Kluyveromyces lactis: one gene and its partners. The protein of the gene in region 3 interacts with the protein of the main gene of each other region in a biochemical or structural test. Links are inferred from orthologs where the notes say so. Each region holds a gene or a part of one and is shown on either strand. Other genes may lie near its edges.

Evidence for each region.
Region 1: the proteins of REV1 (region 3) and RAD30 form a complex in vitro, tested with the Saccharomyces cerevisiae proteins (3 studies listed by BioGRID). The link is inferred for Kluyveromyces lactis from reciprocal best matches to the Saccharomyces cerevisiae genes REV1 and RAD30.
Region 2: the proteins of REV1 (region 3) and RAD5 form a complex in vitro, tested with the Saccharomyces cerevisiae proteins (2 studies listed by BioGRID, with this or other methods). The link is inferred for Kluyveromyces lactis from reciprocal best matches to the Saccharomyces cerevisiae genes REV1 and RAD5.
Region 4: the proteins of REV1 (region 3) and POL32 form a complex in vitro, tested with the Saccharomyces cerevisiae proteins (2 studies listed by BioGRID). The link is inferred for Kluyveromyces lactis from reciprocal best matches to the Saccharomyces cerevisiae genes REV1 and POL32.

Annotation. Positions count from the first base shown.
Region 1 is NC_006037.1:167,342-171,738, forward strand, and holds RAD30 (DNA-directed DNA polymerase eta), read right to left. Parts: upstream 2,483-4,397; coding exon 545-2,482; downstream 1-544. Other genes in the region: HKR1 (Hkr1p), read right to left, coding at 1-63; KLLA0_A01870g (acyl-CoA-binding domain-containing protein), read right to left, coding at 2,763-3,644. UniProt on the Saccharomyces cerevisiae protein: DNA polymerase specifically involved in DNA repair. Plays an important role in translesion synthesis, where the normal high fidelity DNA polymerases cannot proceed and DNA synthesis stalls. Plays an important role in the repair of UV-induced pyrimidine dimers.
Region 2 is NC_006042.1:1,601,788-1,606,910, forward strand, and holds the start of RAD5 (DNA helicase RAD5), read right to left. Parts: upstream 2,845-5,123; coding exon 1-2,844. Other genes in the region: DLT1 (Dlt1p), read left to right, coding at 3,457-4,437; STO1 (Sto1p), read right to left, coding at 4,669-5,123. UniProt on the Saccharomyces cerevisiae protein: Probable helicase, member of the UBC2/RAD6 epistasis group. Functions with the DNA repair protein RAD18 in error-free postreplication DNA repair.
Region 3 is NC_006042.1:2,180,172-2,185,533, forward strand, and holds REV1 (deoxycytidyl transferase), read left to right. Parts: upstream 1-1,814; coding exon 1,815-4,304; downstream 4,305-5,362. Other genes in the region: pyruvate kinase PYK2, read right to left, coding at 4,580-5,362. UniProt on the Saccharomyces cerevisiae protein: Deoxycytidyl transferase involved in DNA repair. Transfers a dCMP residue from dCTP to the 3'-end of a DNA primer in a template-dependent reaction.
Region 4 is NC_006041.1:1,996,121-1,999,900, reverse strand, and holds POL32 (DNA polymerase delta subunit POL32), read right to left. Parts: upstream 1,715-3,780; coding exon 545-1,714; downstream 1-544. Other genes in the region: KLLA0_E22397g (uncharacterized protein), read right to left, coding at 2,130-3,008. UniProt on the Saccharomyces cerevisiae protein: DNA polymerase delta (DNA polymerase III) participates in chromosomal DNA replication.

The DNA.
Region 1 (4,397 bases), on a different chromosome or scaffold from region 3:
ACATATTATAAGAGCAAATAGCCACAGCAGTGGATAATGGTAGGTATTACGTCGTACGTGCATTCAAAGGTATCAATAGTAGAATCTTGATTTGACAAAACACATCCAAATGAGAATGTCGTCTATAATCTGAGAATGAAAGCTTCTCCAGATTTAATGAGGTGGTTCTTGTAAAAGAAAATGAGTTGTAGTCCAAAGTAGCTGTATAACAGCCTGGAAGCTGTTCAGAGAATATGTGTGCGTTAGCTGCTTTTAACGCTGGGTATCGCTTGCTTCCCTCTTCCTGTTGACCTTTTGAGGTTAAAAAGATCTGGCTAAAATTACAACTTACACACTTATTTAACAAACATTGGATCTCTTAATTGTCTATTTTAAGTTCGAAATCGAATGTGGAATTCAGAAAAGAAAGAAAGACGAAAAGCAAGATATTACCCGGATATGCGACTGGAACCTCGTTACTAACCACGCTCCTCATATAAATGCCACTGGTAAGACGATGATACGATTAACTATAAATATACAAGTATATGTGGGTGGAGATTTATCACTTCTTGAAGAACTTCATGATTCCTCCATCTTTTTTTTTGGGTTTTTGCACTGATGCGGCATTCTTCTTAGCTTTCTTTCCGAAGAGAAGGATTCTTTCTGCGTGCGTCAGCATTGTTGAGTTCTCTGATACTCCGTTAATCTGTTCTGATAATTGAACTGATAGATGATAATCGACGTGCTCTTGGAACAGTTTTTTGTCCTGTAGAGTTTCCCCGCACTGTTTGCAAGTTAAATTTTCAGCCATTGTAGGAGGAGAAGAAGCACTTGGTGGTTCTCCCTCGAGTGTCTCTGAAACAGACGCATCATAAGGGCCACCTTTCGAATCTGAATGTATGTCTTCACCTTCTATCTTTACGACGTTGTTATCAGTTGAAGATGATTTTGAGATTGCTCGATTACCGAACATATCAAGGACAGTTTTCCCCTTGTCTATTATATCAAAATTGGAAAGAGTCAACGAGAGTTCTCTCAAAGGGTAAACACCGGCAAGCTTGCCATGTTGCTTATCAATCTCGTTTATCAATTTTGTTGCATTGATGAATAACTCTCTGGACGTTATACTACTTGAAGCGGTAGTGATTCTTCGGGTTTGAGTATATTTCATGCCTGCTTTGCCCTTAATCATGATAACAATTGTTCTTGGCATTATTACCTTTTCATATTCTTGTTCTAAGTCATGTACACGGTAGTTTAGTTCACTGCAAAAGATTTCAAGCCATTCAATGCAGTCAATAACGCTAGCACAATCATCATTTCTCAAATTTTTCTTCGACATCATAGATTTTGGCAATGGTCGCGGTTCGACAGGCAACCTGAATTGGCCTCTTACTAATTGATAGATTTTCGCACTTATTTTGGCAACATCGGCTTCATTAATGTTGTACTCTCTAGACCTTTGTATATCTCTGCATATGATTTTCTTGAGCATGAATTTTCTGATGTCATCGCTTGAAACTGGCCATGAATCTCTAATGAACTTTATAGAATGTTCTTTGGGAAGTTCCATCAAATCAATTAATTCCTTTCCACGTATGCCACCCAATGTCCAAAAGGAATTGATTTCAAACTTCCCGCAATCAAGGAAATCATCTATACAGTTGTTCTTTACAATGGTTTGCGCATTGGGTTTCTTGTAATTAGAAGCAAGCTTGCTAAGATTCTTCGTCATTGATATACCACAAGATGTGGTATATCCCAACATATCATCAATTTGGTTTCTGATTGTGTTAGTAGAATTACTTGCTAAGCACATAAGGACATCATCCCAATCCTCAAATAAGGGCCTATTCTGTGAATTGAATACCTCTCCACTGAACTGAATGCTGAGTTTAGTTGGTAAACTGGGTAAATGGTCATTTAAATCGTACCTTCCATCCTGGAAAATACCCCTAATATCAGCAAAATCGGTATAGGAATCATCCATGAGAAGTTCATAAAATAATTTGCGTCCCAATTCTATGAAAGCTTCGTCCACACTGGCTTTCTCAACTAAATCGTATTCATCTTGAAATAATTTGATGAGTTTGCGACTTTCTCTTCTGTACGGTTCTAAGGCAACTTTATAGTTTGTTGGACTTAACTTTTTACTCTCGTCTTCTACCCATGATCCGCACCCATCATGGTACTGCCAATAGTCTTCCCCTTTACGGAAAACAGCTGTGTGTATCGGAATGATTTTATCACACTTTTTTATCGCATCAAGTATGCTCTCCATGCGGGACACATTATACTTTCGAGCTGCATAAGAAACGGCTAAAATACTAGTCCATTGTACTGCAACTACCGGATCATCCCTTGAAAAACCGCATCGTACCTGTTCTACCTGTGCAAAAAAGGCATTGACATCAATGTGTGCAATGCATGCTAATGGAGAAAGAAAGCTCTTCTCTTTGTCATTCAAATCAATCAAATCTCGCCATCTGTATTTCGACATTATGCTATACCATCAATTTCCTGAAATGCGATCTTTAGCACCCAGCTGCTTACTTTAGTTTCCATTTCACTTCGAATATCTACGTTGTACTAAGGCACTTGTTTTAATGAACCCCGTACAATTCAACAGAACAAGAGATGAGATGAGATGACTTGTTCAAAAAGAAAAAAGTAAATAGGAATAGGAACGCCGATAAAGAGTCATTACTTAAATGCATATAATTCAGTTCCTCACCACTCTAGGTGTATGGCTAGTAGGACGCGATGACTTATTTACTTAATTATTGAACTTGTAGACTGACCTTACTTATCCCTGTGAATTGGCTTAATAACTGAATTAGTTTAGATATCCATGAAGAATGACGGGAGTCTACTTTATCTAGAGCTAGATCAATAGATTTGTCGGAATATTTTACGACAAACAACATGAATAGTAGTATGAGCGATTGAGACATTATACGCTTCCCGAGGTATGTTACTATGCCTCTACTGATTGTGAGAAGCTTTGTCAGTATTCTTTTGAGGGTGATCCAAATAGCATAGAATTCTTCACTCTTATCAGATAGACCTGATCCGATCGGCGCGAGACTTATACCATTTTGGATTGAATTGGGTCGTAGGGTAGCGAGAGTCTCATATACTTCTCTTCTAATCTTCTCTGATCCGTTATCCATGTCGTTATCATTTGTTAGCATCAATACACTATTCGTTTCATCTTGATATTCAGGCCCCTCATTTCCATCAAACGTATTAGAATGGCTTATCTGCCACCACATAAACTCTAATTCTGAAAGTAGTTCTCGCGCAACGATGGTCCCCATAGCGTATGTCTTCATGGTGTGGATCAACAATTCAATGTAGGCTCTTTTAGCTTCAGTCTTCGACAATCCTTCCTTACTCTTCCATGCCTCCCATTTACGTAAGGCTAAGTTATAATCCGGTGATGTAGGATTACCGTCCGGCTTATCCAATATATGGCTGACGTCTCCTTCTGTGGACTGTTTGAACAATGCATATAGTTGAATCCTCACATTCGCTGGTGGTCTTGGTAATGAGTGATACCCTTTTTGAGAGGAAAGGGTTTGAATTGTAACAATAGCTTTCTCAAACACACGATCTACAGAGTCATCGGACATTGTACTTTCTTGTAGCGGTAACGGCATCAACGGTCTTCCAGCTTGTCCTTGTTATTTCTTATTTTACTTTAAGGTGTACAACATTGAACGGTCTGCATGGTTTTCATTTTGTTATCTTTTTCTTTAAGTCATGATGATGCTCTTTAATACAGTGGAAAGGATACATCATCAACGCTTGAAAAGTAAGAGGCGTATCGGATGGACCGCTGTCGGTGCTTTAAGATACCTGTTAGAGTATTACAGCGCTCCACAAGGTTACAATGGGAATCAACGTCCACTGCATGGAAAAAAAACTATGTGCAAAAATACTATATAACCATAAGAATCAGGGCCCACAAGTAAACGATTTTCTAATAGAAGCACCTGCTTCTCATAAGTCAATCAATCACATGAGAGAAAGAACTATATTTGTACAGTCCCATTTTGCTATCAAGTACTAAACAATAGCATGAAAACCCTTAAAAGTCACAGAAAAGTATACTTCATTTCAAATTATGATCCGACAAGTGAAACAAGAGAAATACAATGTCGAAAGAATATAATGTTTGTCAGTGAAATGGACCAATATAACCAACTCACAAAAGAGATTTCAGGTATATCTTGGTGAGTAATAGACAAAGATTTAATATTGTTTGCTATTAAATTGGATCTTAGTACGTTGGAAAATAAAAGTATCAATACCATTGAAAAAACTCGAAAGAACTATACTTCGGATATGCTGCCACAAATATCAGATGATGGATCAGCAAAACTTCTTACTAAGTGTACTAAGAAACAAGA
Region 2 (5,123 bases), about 580 kb from region 3:
GAGATGCCTCAATAAAGCTTTAATTTTAGTCGATTGGAAATGTGAATGAAACGAAATTAGTTCATATCCTCTTTCAGCATCAATTGGCTCCTTTAGCTTTAACACATTAGCTTCTGAGATCGGCATTCTACAATATGGACAGTTGATGGATAGTTTTTTATTTTGCTGAAATTCAATGTATTCTGCCAAACAAGGTTCACAAAATGTGTGGAGACACTCTGTTATAGAGACCGCAGACAGCGGTTCAATACACTCAGTGGTGCAAATAGCACATTCAAAAGAAGGTAATTGCTCTGAAGCGCTGTGAATATCACGAAAGTTCGCACTTAAAGCATCCAATTTATCTTGAGAAATGGAACTTTTTGGTGACTTAATATTTTTTGGCATGAGGATGGAGGAGATGTTTTGAGTTGAGTTCTCCAGATCTTCAAGATCTGGGTCTCCGAGATCTGGTGTCTTTTTGAGTAAATCCAAATGACAGCAGACTTGTCTAAGTCTTAAAATATGGACCAAGATATTAGTGTAGTTCTTCAATAGATCACCTTTGGCCAACCCTTCTTTAACAGAGTTTTCCGCATCTTCTAACATGGATTGATAAACTCTTTTCTCACTGGATGAAAGTTGCAACTTTTCGACGATTACTTCCTTTGGAGGTAAAGAGACTAAAGGTTTGCCATCAACATCCTTCATATTCTTCGTTCTTCTGAGAAGCACAGGCTCCAATACTGCATTTATGACATCAAATGCCTGCGCATAGTTACCTTTCTCGAAAGGAACTGAAACGTAACGCTTCCAATAGTTGATGTGAGACCAGGGCTCTAAGTTCAAGAACTGAACTAAGGAAAATAGATCGTCAAGTCGATTGATGATTGGTGTTCCTGTCAAGATCCATTTTCTGGAACTCCGCAAGGCTATGACAGCTTTAGATGTCCTTGTACTTCTATTTCTAATCGTATGACCTTCATCCAATATTATTCTAAAGAAGACCACATTGAATAATCCCGATGTTGAGGTTCTCCCATATTCGCTCTGAATTATCCCATAAGTAGTTATGATTACTGAGGGAGCGTTGGGGCCAAGCACATACGCCCTTAAATCTTTAATATTATTCCCGTAATAAATTTCACAACGTTTTTTGAGGTCCTTGTTGGCCTTTTCGAATTCTGATTGCCACTGATTCAATAAGGACATCGGCACTACTATCAACGTCGTCCTGTAAGCATAAGTGTCATGCTTATGTTGAGAATGGCGTAATGGAGAGGAATCCACTTGAGAAGACATCTCCTTCATAGAAGGCTTTTTGGTTGACTCAATTTTCTTTTCATGAGCCTCATCATAGCTAGCAGTACAAATCAATGCTAAAGCTGATATTGTTTTCCCTAGACCCATCTCATCCGCCAAAATACCTCCATTGATTATCGTCTTAATGACCGGCTTCTCGATAGAAAACTCACCAGTGTATAAATTAGCATAAAAGAAGCAATCATCTTCGTGGTTTGGAGTCCCTTGTTTTGAATTAGATGGCCAGCGGAATTTCTTCCATAGTGGATTCATACTATTCCCATCAATAGACACTTCTGCGGCTTTCTCTGATAAATGACTATACTCGTATTCTCTTTTGAGCATCCATGACAAACTTTGCTTTTGGTACCTTCTCAATTGCAATTTAAAAAGTGATTCATCTGGGGTAGTTTCTGGTAAGTTTTGCAATGAGGCCGCGGACTGTGTAATTCTGTAAAATGATTTTAGTTGATTGATGTTCAAAGCTTCATCCTGAAACTGGGAACTAGAAACAGTGTTTTCTTGGTAGTTAGGTATCATCTCATTTTTGGTGTCTCCGTACACTGGTTGTATATTTATCGCATCAAACAATGCCATTATCGCTCCGGCGCGATGCAACTGACGTGTGTCCATGCCATGGTCATTGATAAAAGATTTGTTCAGAATACTTCCGCCTTCAATGCGGACGAAAGCCTGTGAGGTCAAATAACAATCAATTCTGATGTAAATATTATCTCCAACACTGAATCTCTTACCATTATTAATGAGAAGATATGGCTCCAGACTGACCTGTTCGCTGTAGTCTAAAAGTGGGTACAATATTCTTGCAACATCTTCAGGCATTCGACCAAGTTCTCTATCCTGTGAGGTATCGATTAAGCGAACTAAATGCGAACAGTGCTGGTGCTGAAGTGATTTACCTAAGGGAAGATCCTTCGGTACAGATTTTTTAAAACCTAAACGGGATCCGATAGGAACTGGTTTTACGGTTGGCCGTGTAGCGAATCCCATAGTATGAATAGACCCAATGTAACGAGACCATCGGTTCCTTCCCTTGTCAGATGACATAGGTGATTCTAAACCTGCTTGGGTGCTGGTCCTCTTATTTGTAAACAGTTGGGATAATTGGGACGAAGACGGCAGAATAGACAATTCGTCATCATTTTCTTCATCCGACAAATCTATCACCTCTATATTATCACCAGCCGGCATTTTAGATTCAGTTTTACTTTTGGAAAGTAATTCCTTGTCCTCAAAGAATTTATCAGCTGCAATACTTATACCATCTTTGAGCAGACCATATGAACTCCAAAGAGTGTGGAGTTGAGAGGACGAAATCATATTTTCTCCAAGAATCTCCTTCAAAGATTCAAAAAACCTTTCCTTATGATTAGATGTATTACTTGATACTTCTGAGGAACTTTCAACATGTCCTTGGCCATCATCAGAATCATCTGCCTCATCCTGTACAAAAAGAGATCGAGATTCGTTCAAATTTATTACAGATTCATCTTCATCACGAAAGAACCTTGGTTTTTCATCAGCTTTTTGCGGCTGTGTCATACTTTGGGTGCCCGTATTGCTAGAATCAGGTCAACTGAAAGATATATATGGGTAGTGTTCCAAGTATTCCTTTGCTGTGCCTGAAATGATTAGTAAAGAGATGAGCTGAGATGAGACGCGAATAAGTTAACAATTTCTTAATGCAAAACAAACGCACGTGACGCGTAAATGAATAAAGTTTTTGTGAATAAAAAAAACTTCGAACTTGAAAACTTCCAGAAAATACCACGTTGTGGAAACATAATGGAAATAAGAAACAAAATAGAAACAAAAGAGAAATCGGTTCGTATTCCTATGAAGTACCACAAGCTGAAATTTCAAAGCATCGAAACAATTTCATTTCCCAATGTCAGACAATAAAAGTATAGAGAGAGAGAGAGAAAGAACTTGGATTCTATATGAGTTTTAGTGCTAACAATCCCGAAAAGATCGGACTTAACTCTGGATAACTGAAAATAGCGGGGTTCTGCGGGGTTTAAGTTCAATTACTACCAGAGAAGACTGTAATCCAGGACTGTTTCCATCCAATACTTATCTCCGTTTAGAAGTACGTTTTCGACACACTGTGTGAGATTATATGTTATATTATAACTGTTATAGAGATGAGTTGGAATGGTAACAAGTTGGTATAAAATATGGTATCATACCACGCAGGTGATATTCATCCTTTTATTTGTTGGTTTTTCTGTTGTTGTTCCTTTAGATTGTATTGTGCAAGCGTCAGACTCTAGCAACGATGCAGTTAATACCTTTATTGTGGTCGGTGCAGCTGTTGTATTAGTGGTATTTGGGATTTCTATTAGTTTTGCTCGTGTATTGATCTTTCGAAGATCATTACAAGATATACCGAAGAAATACATTCCAGTAACTGCGCAGGATATGCGTCATAAACCTTCAAGGGAATATGTGATTGAAAATATGAAGAGAGCTGGAGAATTGGCGGAAAAGTTTAAAGTACCGAAAGAGCCTGTCTTACATGCTGGCATGGAACCAAAAGACAGTGATATGTTTCCTGAACACTTGAAATATGCGGAAATTGTTAAATTTATCTCTGATAGGTTTAGATTCGACGGGGCTTTGCTGTTGAATTTTGTCACTGAATCGGATCTCAGTACAACTTTCAAAACAGCACTTCATAAACTTTTCGAGAATGAAAAACACCCTTATAAGCAGTATTTGGATGAGTTTATCTCGCTTTATGAGAAATTCCGATTTAGTGGACAAGATATTGAACGAAACGATTTCGTAAAATTCTTAAGACTCTACAAATATCTCGCTGATTTATCGAATAATTTGGATTTAACAAGAATCGAGTCTGTCCCATCCCAATTTCTTCACGTTCCTACTGAAGATTATGACACTGATGCCAGATCTAGAACGGACTCCGAATTCTCAACTCCATATTTACGACCTTACCCGTCTGACGCCTTCATGCATAATACAACCCCTGCATCACATGTGGGCTCTCGCTCCAGTAACTTCAGTTACGATATAGATGAGTCTGCAGAACCACCAGAATCTGTGGAAGACCAACAAAGATATCATGACATGCTCACTAGAGTAGACACTTACAATACCGTCATACATAGATGATTAAAATACCGGACAGTTTCTGTAACTTATTAATTAAAGCTTTTGGACTTAATAATTATAAACAACAACGACTCTTATCTTATATAATACACAACGATGCAGAAAGGCATCAAAAAAGAGAACATGACTAGGAGGGTATCATTAGCAAACAACCCATCGTATCGAGAACTTTGATGTCAATTCGAAATCAATATACCTGGATATAAGCTGGCAAGTAGTTCTGGTTCACGCTCATAATTCTGAAACTTCCGAAATCCATCTGTTCAATTGTTGCTTGGTGGGTTCATGTGGCACGCCTTGTAATACATCATTGATGAACTTTTCCGTCAGAACGCTAAACTCATCCGAGTATTTTCTGAGCACACTCTTTAAGAAACCCATAATTGCTTCGTATTTCCACGCAAGGTCTAATGATGGTAACTCTTCGTCTGTTGCCTGAATGTCTTGATCAAGATCTGGAACAACAATTGGATCAATAGTGTTCAATTGCGACAATACCTCGTTAGCAGCACCCACCAACCTGTTGAAGACATACTCAAAAGAACCAACATCTTTGTCAGCAGCCATAGCCAGCTCATTCAAAATTCTGAAAATAGACTCAATAGAAGTAGAGTCGACGAGACTCATGTTTACTCCACACTGTTCGGTCAAAGAAAAGTTTAAAACTGATTCATTTGAAATTAGAC
Region 3 (5,362 bases):
TGTCCTCCCCTTTTGCTTCCTAATGTTACAGCGACAAGAAGATATACATTCTTGCTCTACGTTTGAGAAACCAGAAGTTGCGAAAAAAAAGAAAGCAGTGGGTGATTAAAGAAGCATGCCAAATTAAGAGATATCGCACTGCCCGTAACATACCGAAATATCACACGCACGGGAAAATTGAAGACGACATTTTCACCACTAGTTTCGTGCTTATGTTCGGTACCACAATGCAAACCGACAACAGAATATGCCTGAGTAGTGGACTTCCTCCGTGCACACAAGAGATAAAATTAAATCAAAAGAAGACTCTAGCAAGGCGTGCCATAATCCACGATAGAATCCTGGAAATCGTCTTACACTTAAAGTAGTAGTAACTATACGTAAAATAGCCGTTGCCAATGGGAATGGAAATAGCGCCTGCGCAAATTATGAGGATTTTCCGGCGACCATTCCTTATCCAACAGCGATGTTCCGGCTACAGAAGTATATTAGAAAAAAAATTCCTGCGGCTACATTGTATGTGTTGTAAAAGAAGAAAAGAGAGAAAGCAAAAAAAGACCAACAAAAACTTGGCGAGGGGAAAGGGGAAAAACGTATTATAGTTCACATTCCAGCCCATTTTCAAACTGGTCGTTAGGAAATACGTATGTTAGGGTGCACCCATTCTGGAAACGCTGCCTATATCTTTCGTGGACGGGAAGAGGATAAGGAACGTTTCATCTTAACTCCTGCCAGCTTCCGCTCATGGACAGTGTGTTTTTGGGTTCATCCGTAGGGGAATGGCACCACTTAGTGCTCTGGCGTGCGTTTTAATCCTGTTCAACATGCTTTTCAGTGGAAGGGTGTGAAAAGGGCCAAACATGCAATCGCCGCAGTAGATAAAACGTCGGATAAACCTTACATAGGAAGCTCAATGAATGGGAAAATATTATGCTCAGAATGGGAATTTTGCGTCAAGATGCGTGGGAAGTGGTGTGGTTTTTCCTACTGAGCTTTCTACTGAGTATTTCCAGCTGCTCATCTCGGAAAAACTAAGACAAAAAAAAGAAAATAGAAGACGTACAAAGTGCTTTGCGGAAAAACATTTTGTTTTTCTGCTGCGTGTTTGTCTTTGGTTTTTGGGTTCAGATTCGGATAAACAACCGTCGTTTATTGCATGCTTTCTATCGCTTCTACGGCAAACCTGTGCCCCTGGTATATGTGGCACCATACGTCTCCCAATAGACACCTTTCAATTTTCATAGCTTAGCGAGGGGTTGGATATCAACAACAATAACCGGACTGTTTATCTTTTTTTTATTGATCTACCGGTTCTTTTAGAACGATTACGTCCAACTGGTCAACGTTTTTGTCTTTGTATGGTGAAAATCTTGAAAAAAAATCCACTTAGAAAAAAAAAGGAAGCAGTCAAACATTTTTCCCCCTGGAACCATTTTTTGAAGCTTTACAAAAAGAGTAGTAGAAAATATGGGAAGAGGTTGAATATTACTGTGATTTGCTTGGTAACATTGGTTTCCCGTCGTGTCTGTGCGTGTGTGTATATCGGTCATTGTCTGATTTCAATAACTTATAAACAAAGTTAGGGAAAAATCGAGACTACGCGGACTCTGAACAGCGGAGGAGTTCTACACATCAATATACGGACACAAATGTACTTCTAGAAAGTACCTTGCTATAACAATAGTGTATCTATCAGATTCCAGCCCTTGTGTTATCAATAATCAGCTTGAGCATTTATTTTCCTTTTGTCCTTATCTGGTCATTGACGGAGACTTCAGAGTTCTGGACTGGTTTTACTCATAACTCCGAATGCCATGAACAATAAAGAGGAGGAGCAAGACGTAACTGCAAGTTTCAACAGAAATGAACCAGATATAGCATCCTCCTCGAGTGTTGGATATTCAGGGTATGGAGAATATTTTCATAATAAGGAACTTCAACAGTTGGAAAGTGATGTTCAATTCAGACAGAAATATCAAAAAGAACATCGAGTTTCAAATCCTACACTTTTTCAAGGGTGTACTATCTATGTGAATGGACGTACGAATCCAACTCGATTTCAACTCCATAAACTAATTATTTTACATGGTGGGACTTTCAAGCATTACCTTAGTGGGAAGACTGCAGTCACCCATATACTTGCAACAGAGTTAAATGCATCCAAGAAATCATCTTTTGCCAATTTCAAGGTTGTCAGCCCCGAATGGGTTACTGAGTCTATTGCTCGAGGGAAGCTTTTACCATGGCAAGACTTTAGAATTGTCCAAGTTTCCAGATTACAGGGAAAGATTACAGATTTCGCAACAGTACGGAACTGTATGGATCCGAACTTCATTAATGCTTTTTTCAAATCCTCAAGACTACACCATTTATCGAACTGGAAATTCCAGTTAAGAGATAACTTCGTGAAAGAATTCATTTTGTCATATAACGACACAATTCCTGATCAAAAATATGTGTATTTCCACATTGACTTTGATTGCTTCTTTGCCCAAGTGTCTGCTAAAATCGATGGTAAATACGATATACATGCCACACCTATCGCTATTTCTCATGGTATCAACAATTCTGATATATCCAGCTGCAATTATGTGGCTCGTTCTTTTGGTGTTTATAACGGTATGTGGGTATCATCTGCTTTGAAACTATGCCCGGACTTGAAAATATTAGATTATGAATTTGATGAATATGAAGCAATTTCAAATTTATTCTACAGCGCTCTAAAAGATATTGGAATCTTCAAAATGGTATTGCCAATTTCTATAGATGAAGCAATAGGTTGCATGTTGATTACCCCCGATATTACCTCTGAATTGTTAACTCAAAAATGCATGCAAGTGAGAAATGCCGTCTATAATGTTACTCAAGGATACTCTGTCAGTGTTGGGTGCGGGCCATCCGTATTGCTAGCTCGTTTAGCCCTAAGGAAAGGGAAACCAAACGGGTTCCATATTTCTTGGTTTGATACTGTTACTGAATGCCATGCATTCATAGATCACTTTAAGTTAAAAGATCTTCCTGGTATTGGTTATAGCACAGATCTGAAAATAAAAGAACAATTTGGAAATGTTCAAAACATCTCTGACTTAAGAGATCTTTTAGAAAGGCCAAGCAACGTTTCTAAACTAATAAAAGTGATTGGTTCCAAAAATACCAAGAAACTTCAGATTTACCTTGATGGTAAAGATGACGACGAATCCATAAGTATGGTAAAGGATCCTCATACGTACTTTCAAAAGAAATCCCTCTCAGTAGAAATAAATTATGCCATAAGGTTTAAGACCATAGACGATGTTGATATTTTCCTTGAACGGCTCGCACTCCATTTATGGGAAAAACTTAGGGATTCAAATTTAATGACAAGACAAATAACTTTGAAATTAATGAAGAGAGCTCAAGGCGCACCTGTAGATCCACCAAAATTCATGGGTATGGGTAAATGTGACGCTCTTAGTAAAGTCAGTAACTTAGGAACTAATACACAAAAATTTGGTACAATTGCTTCGGAATGTAAAACTTTATTTAGAATCTTAAGTGTTCCTCCAGAGGAAGTTAGAGGAATTGGTATTCAATTTCACAGGTTAACTGATTCGAACCAAAAAGTGGGGCAAAAGTCGGAACAAAGGGAAATTACGACTGATTTATTTAGAAAACGAGACCATCCGGATGATGACATCACTAACGAACCCTCCAAAGTAGCCGAGCCACATACTCCAGTTAACCCAACATATACTTCTCCCGTAAAAAACTATTGGGATCGCCATCTAAAGCGAAGTATCACCCCATTTCAATATGACTTTCCTGACCAACTCGATCCTGAATTTATGTCCAATTTACCCAAAGATGTTCAAGAAGAGATTACATCTCATCATAAGGTTGTTAAAAAAGCCAATCGTTCTTTGAGAACAAAATTGTACGATGATCCCAGAAAGCAAATTAAGCAGACGCAAGATTTACACTTCATACACGATGGGAGGCTTGTTCCGCAGCTTTCGTTCCAGGGATTAAGTTCTGCGAAACAGATTTCTGAAACTCTTATCGACTGGGTGGACGCCACAGTGGAGGATGGCCCCCATGAAAAAGATCTTGAGTTATTCACTAGCTATCTTGATAAGTTAGCGGAGCAAGGCAGATGTCATATTATACTACATTTGATTAAAACCATAAAAAATAGGGTTGATGATCACTACAACGCGAATCATGAAGGTTTAGAGCAATGGGAATACTTCTTGATTCGTCGACTAATTCCTATATTAAATAAAGCAAAACCTGATGTGAAGTTCAACTTAGTGTTTGATTTATAATTGAATATCCATCTAATACTTGTTGGGATGAAAGCATGCATGATCATTGCGCCCAATTTTTTTAATTAGTAATTACTCTTTCCATGCACTCATTTGTTTATTAATTATTCATCTTTCGACACAACGTAAGTATAATAGTAGAGTACAATCTAATTGTCTTTTTCTTTACCTAAAATATATATATTAATTAGAAAATGTTTGTCTATGGCTTCATAAGTTGCATAATCAAGTCTAATGGTGATCGACAAGATTTTAGTCCAATTTTACCCAGTATCTTAAACGGTCAAGACACGTAGAGTGTTGGAGTTACCGACACCAGCGGCGAAACCTTGAATGGTGACAATGGTGTCACCGTCAACCAAAATTCCGAATTCCTTGGCCTTCTTGACACCGAAGTTGATTCTCTTTTCAACATCGACAGTCCATTCGGAGTCAGAGGATTCATCGTATACGAATGGGAAGACACCTCTATATAGATGAGAGAATCTAGCAGCTCTTGGGTTTCTAGTAACCATAACAATTGGGACATTTGGCTTGTACTTGGCAACCAATCTTGGAGTGTCACCGGTGGTGGATAGGACAATCAAAGCTCTGGCCTTTTGTTCAAATACAGCAGAAACAGAAGCAGCAGCGATAGTTTCAGTGGTTGAGGTTGGCTTTGGAGTCAAGTTTCTTAAGTCATCGTAAGTTGGGATGTATGGGATGGCTTGTTCAGCAATCAAAGCAGTTTCAGCCATGGTCTTAACGGCATTGATTGGGTAGTTACCCTTGGCAGTTTCACCAGACAACATAACACAGTCAGCACCATCAAGAACGGCGTTACCAACATCAGAGACTTCAGCTCTGGTTGGTCTTGGGTTGTAGGTCATGGATTCCAACATTTGGGTAGCACAGATAACTGGCTTACCAGCCAAGTTACACTTAGCAATCAACTTCTTTTGCACAGCAAACACTTGAGGAGCTGGAATTTCAATACCCAAATCACCTCTAGCAACCATAACACCGTCAGTGACCTTCAAGATATCGTCAAAGTTGTTGACACCTTGTTGGTTTTCAAT
Region 4 (3,780 bases), on a different chromosome or scaffold from region 3:
ATGCGATGATAATATTCAATTGAAAGAGTAATTTGGAATATCGGTCCAAAATAAAAAGGAAAGATTTTCAACGGGCGATAAGTGATTGAGCAATAATCTTCAAAACCCAGTCTAAAGCTATAGCGATCTAACTTTTGTGAACTCACTCTTTAATAAAGTATAATGAAACACCAATTAATTTATTGCCGTACAAGCTGTCTGGCAATGTGGTAGTTAATCATTTCCTCTGTCTTATAATCTTTGTTAATCCAAAATTCTTAAATTTCAATCTCAATAGAAAGGGCAAGATAAATCGTTTGAAACGATATTAACCACCCCTTTTCTCTGATAGAAGAAATCGCACAAAGAAGGGGACGTGGTGGCCTGTTCACATCGTTGCGTACGGTGTATTCGGGTAACTTATTCACGTGTTAATGTTTTGTTTTGGGTCACGTGAGTCGCCGTATATTTCTATCTAGGTGTCAGTGCCAGTGCCAGCGTTTGTATCGTCTGTATCATCCGAATCTATTTGAAACTATTTGAATAAATACACAAGTTAATTTACTCATCCCTTTTTCTTACCGAAAAAACTCTCAAGTGTACGTTGACTGGAGCGAGCCTTCTTTTTCTCGACTGGTGTTGCTGGTTTCTTTGACGGTTCTGCCGTTTTCGCTGATTTCACAGGCTTTGGTGGTTTCTTCGTTTCTGTAGCTGGTCTCTTAGTAACCATGTATCCATCTTCGTCTATATATGTGGTCTGTTCTTTCGATTCGTGGACTGGCTCTTCTTTTTCCTTTTCCTTTTCCTTTTCTGGTTGAGATAGTTCCATTAAGGATTCGTCTACCGTCGTGTCAAGTAGTTCTTCTAAGTTTGTGACAGTGCGGTCTAGATTTACTGGTTGTGATTCTTGTGAAGGTACTGATTCTATCGCTACAGGGTGGTTTACTTCAGCCTCTTCTTCGCTTTCCTCTTTCTTATCACGCTTTTTAGAATTTTTATCGAATTGGGCTAAATCATCGTCATCATCATCGTCAAACATCGAGGCCAGTTGGTCCAATTGTTTTTGTTTCTCTTGGCTTACCACGACGTGATTTTTATCCTGCTGCTGGTGCTTCCTCCTTTCCAATTCCTCTTGTCTGTTCTTCTCCTTCTCCTCTCTTTCTCTTCTCATTCTGGCCAGAAGTTCAGTAGATTTTAGACCCATACTCTTAGTTGGTTTCTTAGGTTTTGTAACAGCAACTTCTGGGAACGTCTTTGCCCGTTGCTTCGTTACGACCGGTTCTGCCTCAGACTTTTTCTTGGGGCCGGCCACCATTTTTTGAGTCACATCTTGGGTGGTTATGTTAATTACACTTCCAATACCATCGCTTGTCTGGGGCCGTGTGCCATTTTGATTGTGCAGCTTGTAGGGGTTCTTGATCGTAACGTGTGTTCTTTCTCTATTTGTCAAATCAATAGTTTCCAGTGGGTTGAACGCATAGATGAAGAAATCCTTTATGTCTTCCTTTTCCGGTAGTTTCTCGGGATCCGTAATCATTTGTATTACATTGTGCTTCAAAACACATACTACAATGCATTGGATCGACTCATGTCTCGTAGTGCTATAGTACTGTACCATCTCATTCTTTGCTTTGTTCACATTTATCGAAAACTCATCGCACAAGTCTAAAAATGTTACAGGTTTACAGTCATTGATGAGTTTCTGCGTGATAAAATTCTCTATCGCTGTTACCATATTTCGATGATGATCAGCTCGAGCTTGCTTGCTCTTTTTATTATTCTCTCTCTTCAATTCTCATCGCTCTGTGCAGATAGCACTAAATGATGATTGAGTGAAGTTGCGTCTTTTTTTTTTTTGGTTAGCACCGTTTACGCGTAACAAAGTGTTGACAATTAGACATTAAGGCTCAATGGGGGGAAGCTTCGCAATAGTAGTGAAAGGGTCGATGTATGATACTAATGATCACCCCATATAAGAATTGGGTATATAAAATTATTACATAGTATGTGAAAGAGAAGGAACCACTCTAGTTTTAACTCTATTTTTAATGTAGTTAGGTTAAACAGAAATATTTTGAGCATGATGTAGGGGAAAAGGCAGTGACAATTATCAGTAATAGGTGTTGACGAAGCTTTTTCTACAACAGGATTCAAACACAGGTATAACCACCGTCAACTTGGATATCACAACCGTTGGTGTAAGAAGCAGCATCGGAAGCCAAGTATAAGTAAGCACCGACCAATTCTTGTGGCAAAGCTTCACGACCCACTGGTGTTAGACCCCACCAGTGAGCACGTTGTTCAGTAGGAACGAAGGAGGATAGCAGAGTATCAGTGTAACCTGGTGATACAGAGTTACATCTGATCTTACCAGCTGGAGAGGTCAAACCAGAGAATTCGACGGCGAAACCCTTGGCCATGTGTCTTACTGCAGCTTTAGAAGCGTTGTAACAGGTTTGGTAGTTTGGAACGTTACTGATGTAACTAGACATAGAAGCAGTCAAGATCAAATTACCGTGGCCTTGGTTCTTGAATACTTCAGCAGCGTACCTGCTACAGTGGTAAGTACCTTGGACGTTAACGTCCATGACTCTGCGCCACATTTCTGGGGTGGAACCATCGTTCAAGATAGAACCGTTAGTCCAGGCAATACCTGCGTTAGCAATGAATGTGTTAATTGCACGACCTGGGAAATCTTCCAAGATTCTTTCAAAGACAAATTTAACGTCGTCAGCGTTGGTAATATCTACTTGGTATGACTTGGATTCAATCCCGTAAGTCTTGCTCAAATGGACGGAAAGTTCTGGTTGGAAGGTTCTGTCCAAAATAATGACATCTGAACCACAAGAAGCGAAACCCTCACATAGAGCGCCACCAATGGCACCAGCACCACCAGTAATAACGGTCAATTTGCCCTTTTGACTGAACAAATTGAGGTAATTGACACCTTGTGGGTACTGTTCCGTTGGAGGAGCTTGTGGAACGACGGTGTCTTCAGTTGGAGTCTTGATGAAACTTTGGAATGACATATCTGTGTCTGATGAGGTTAATTGATAGTGTGGATTTCGCTTGTTCAAATTTCCCAATTATGAACCCAATTGAGGGAATAAAGCATATTGCAAGCAAGATTGGAGCAGCAATAGGGTTGAAACTAAAAAGTTACAATTATTTATATATGCATAATTTGTATTTTCGTTTCTTCGGATAAACTTAGAAGTATTTCACTTGAAAAATTATATGGTTTAGAACATACAAACATCTCAGGAATCAAATCAAAAAAAAAAAAAGCTACCTTGCTTTGTGCCTTTCCACCCACCCCCCACACATGCACACATATATACCGTACAAGTATGTGTAATGCAACTGAGGGACAAGTCATCTATTTGATTCCTCAAGCCAGTGTCCTTCCTTTATTACTGCCCCGATGTATTTTTTTTCCAAGCAATCAATACGGATCCCTAAACATACATCACCTCGACTCAGCTTCTTGATCAGTGTTTTCCCACAGAAGCCGTTGTACCTGCAAGCGGCGGGAAATCCAAAAAAAAAAAAAAAAAAAAATAGCCTCGGTGTCATCTTTTTTCTTTTGAAACCGGTGAAACTTCAAGGTCGACAAATAAAGAAAAGGAAAAAAAGAAAATCCCAGATTTCCACAACAAGGAAGAGCTTGCTCGAATTTGGGACTGAATCGGCCTACAATGTACTAGCTCATACTGTGCCGATTCAGATTAGGTTTCAATAATGTGGGGAGGGAAGAATCCGCAAGAAAGAAAGGAGAAACGGAAGCAAGAAAAAAAGAAA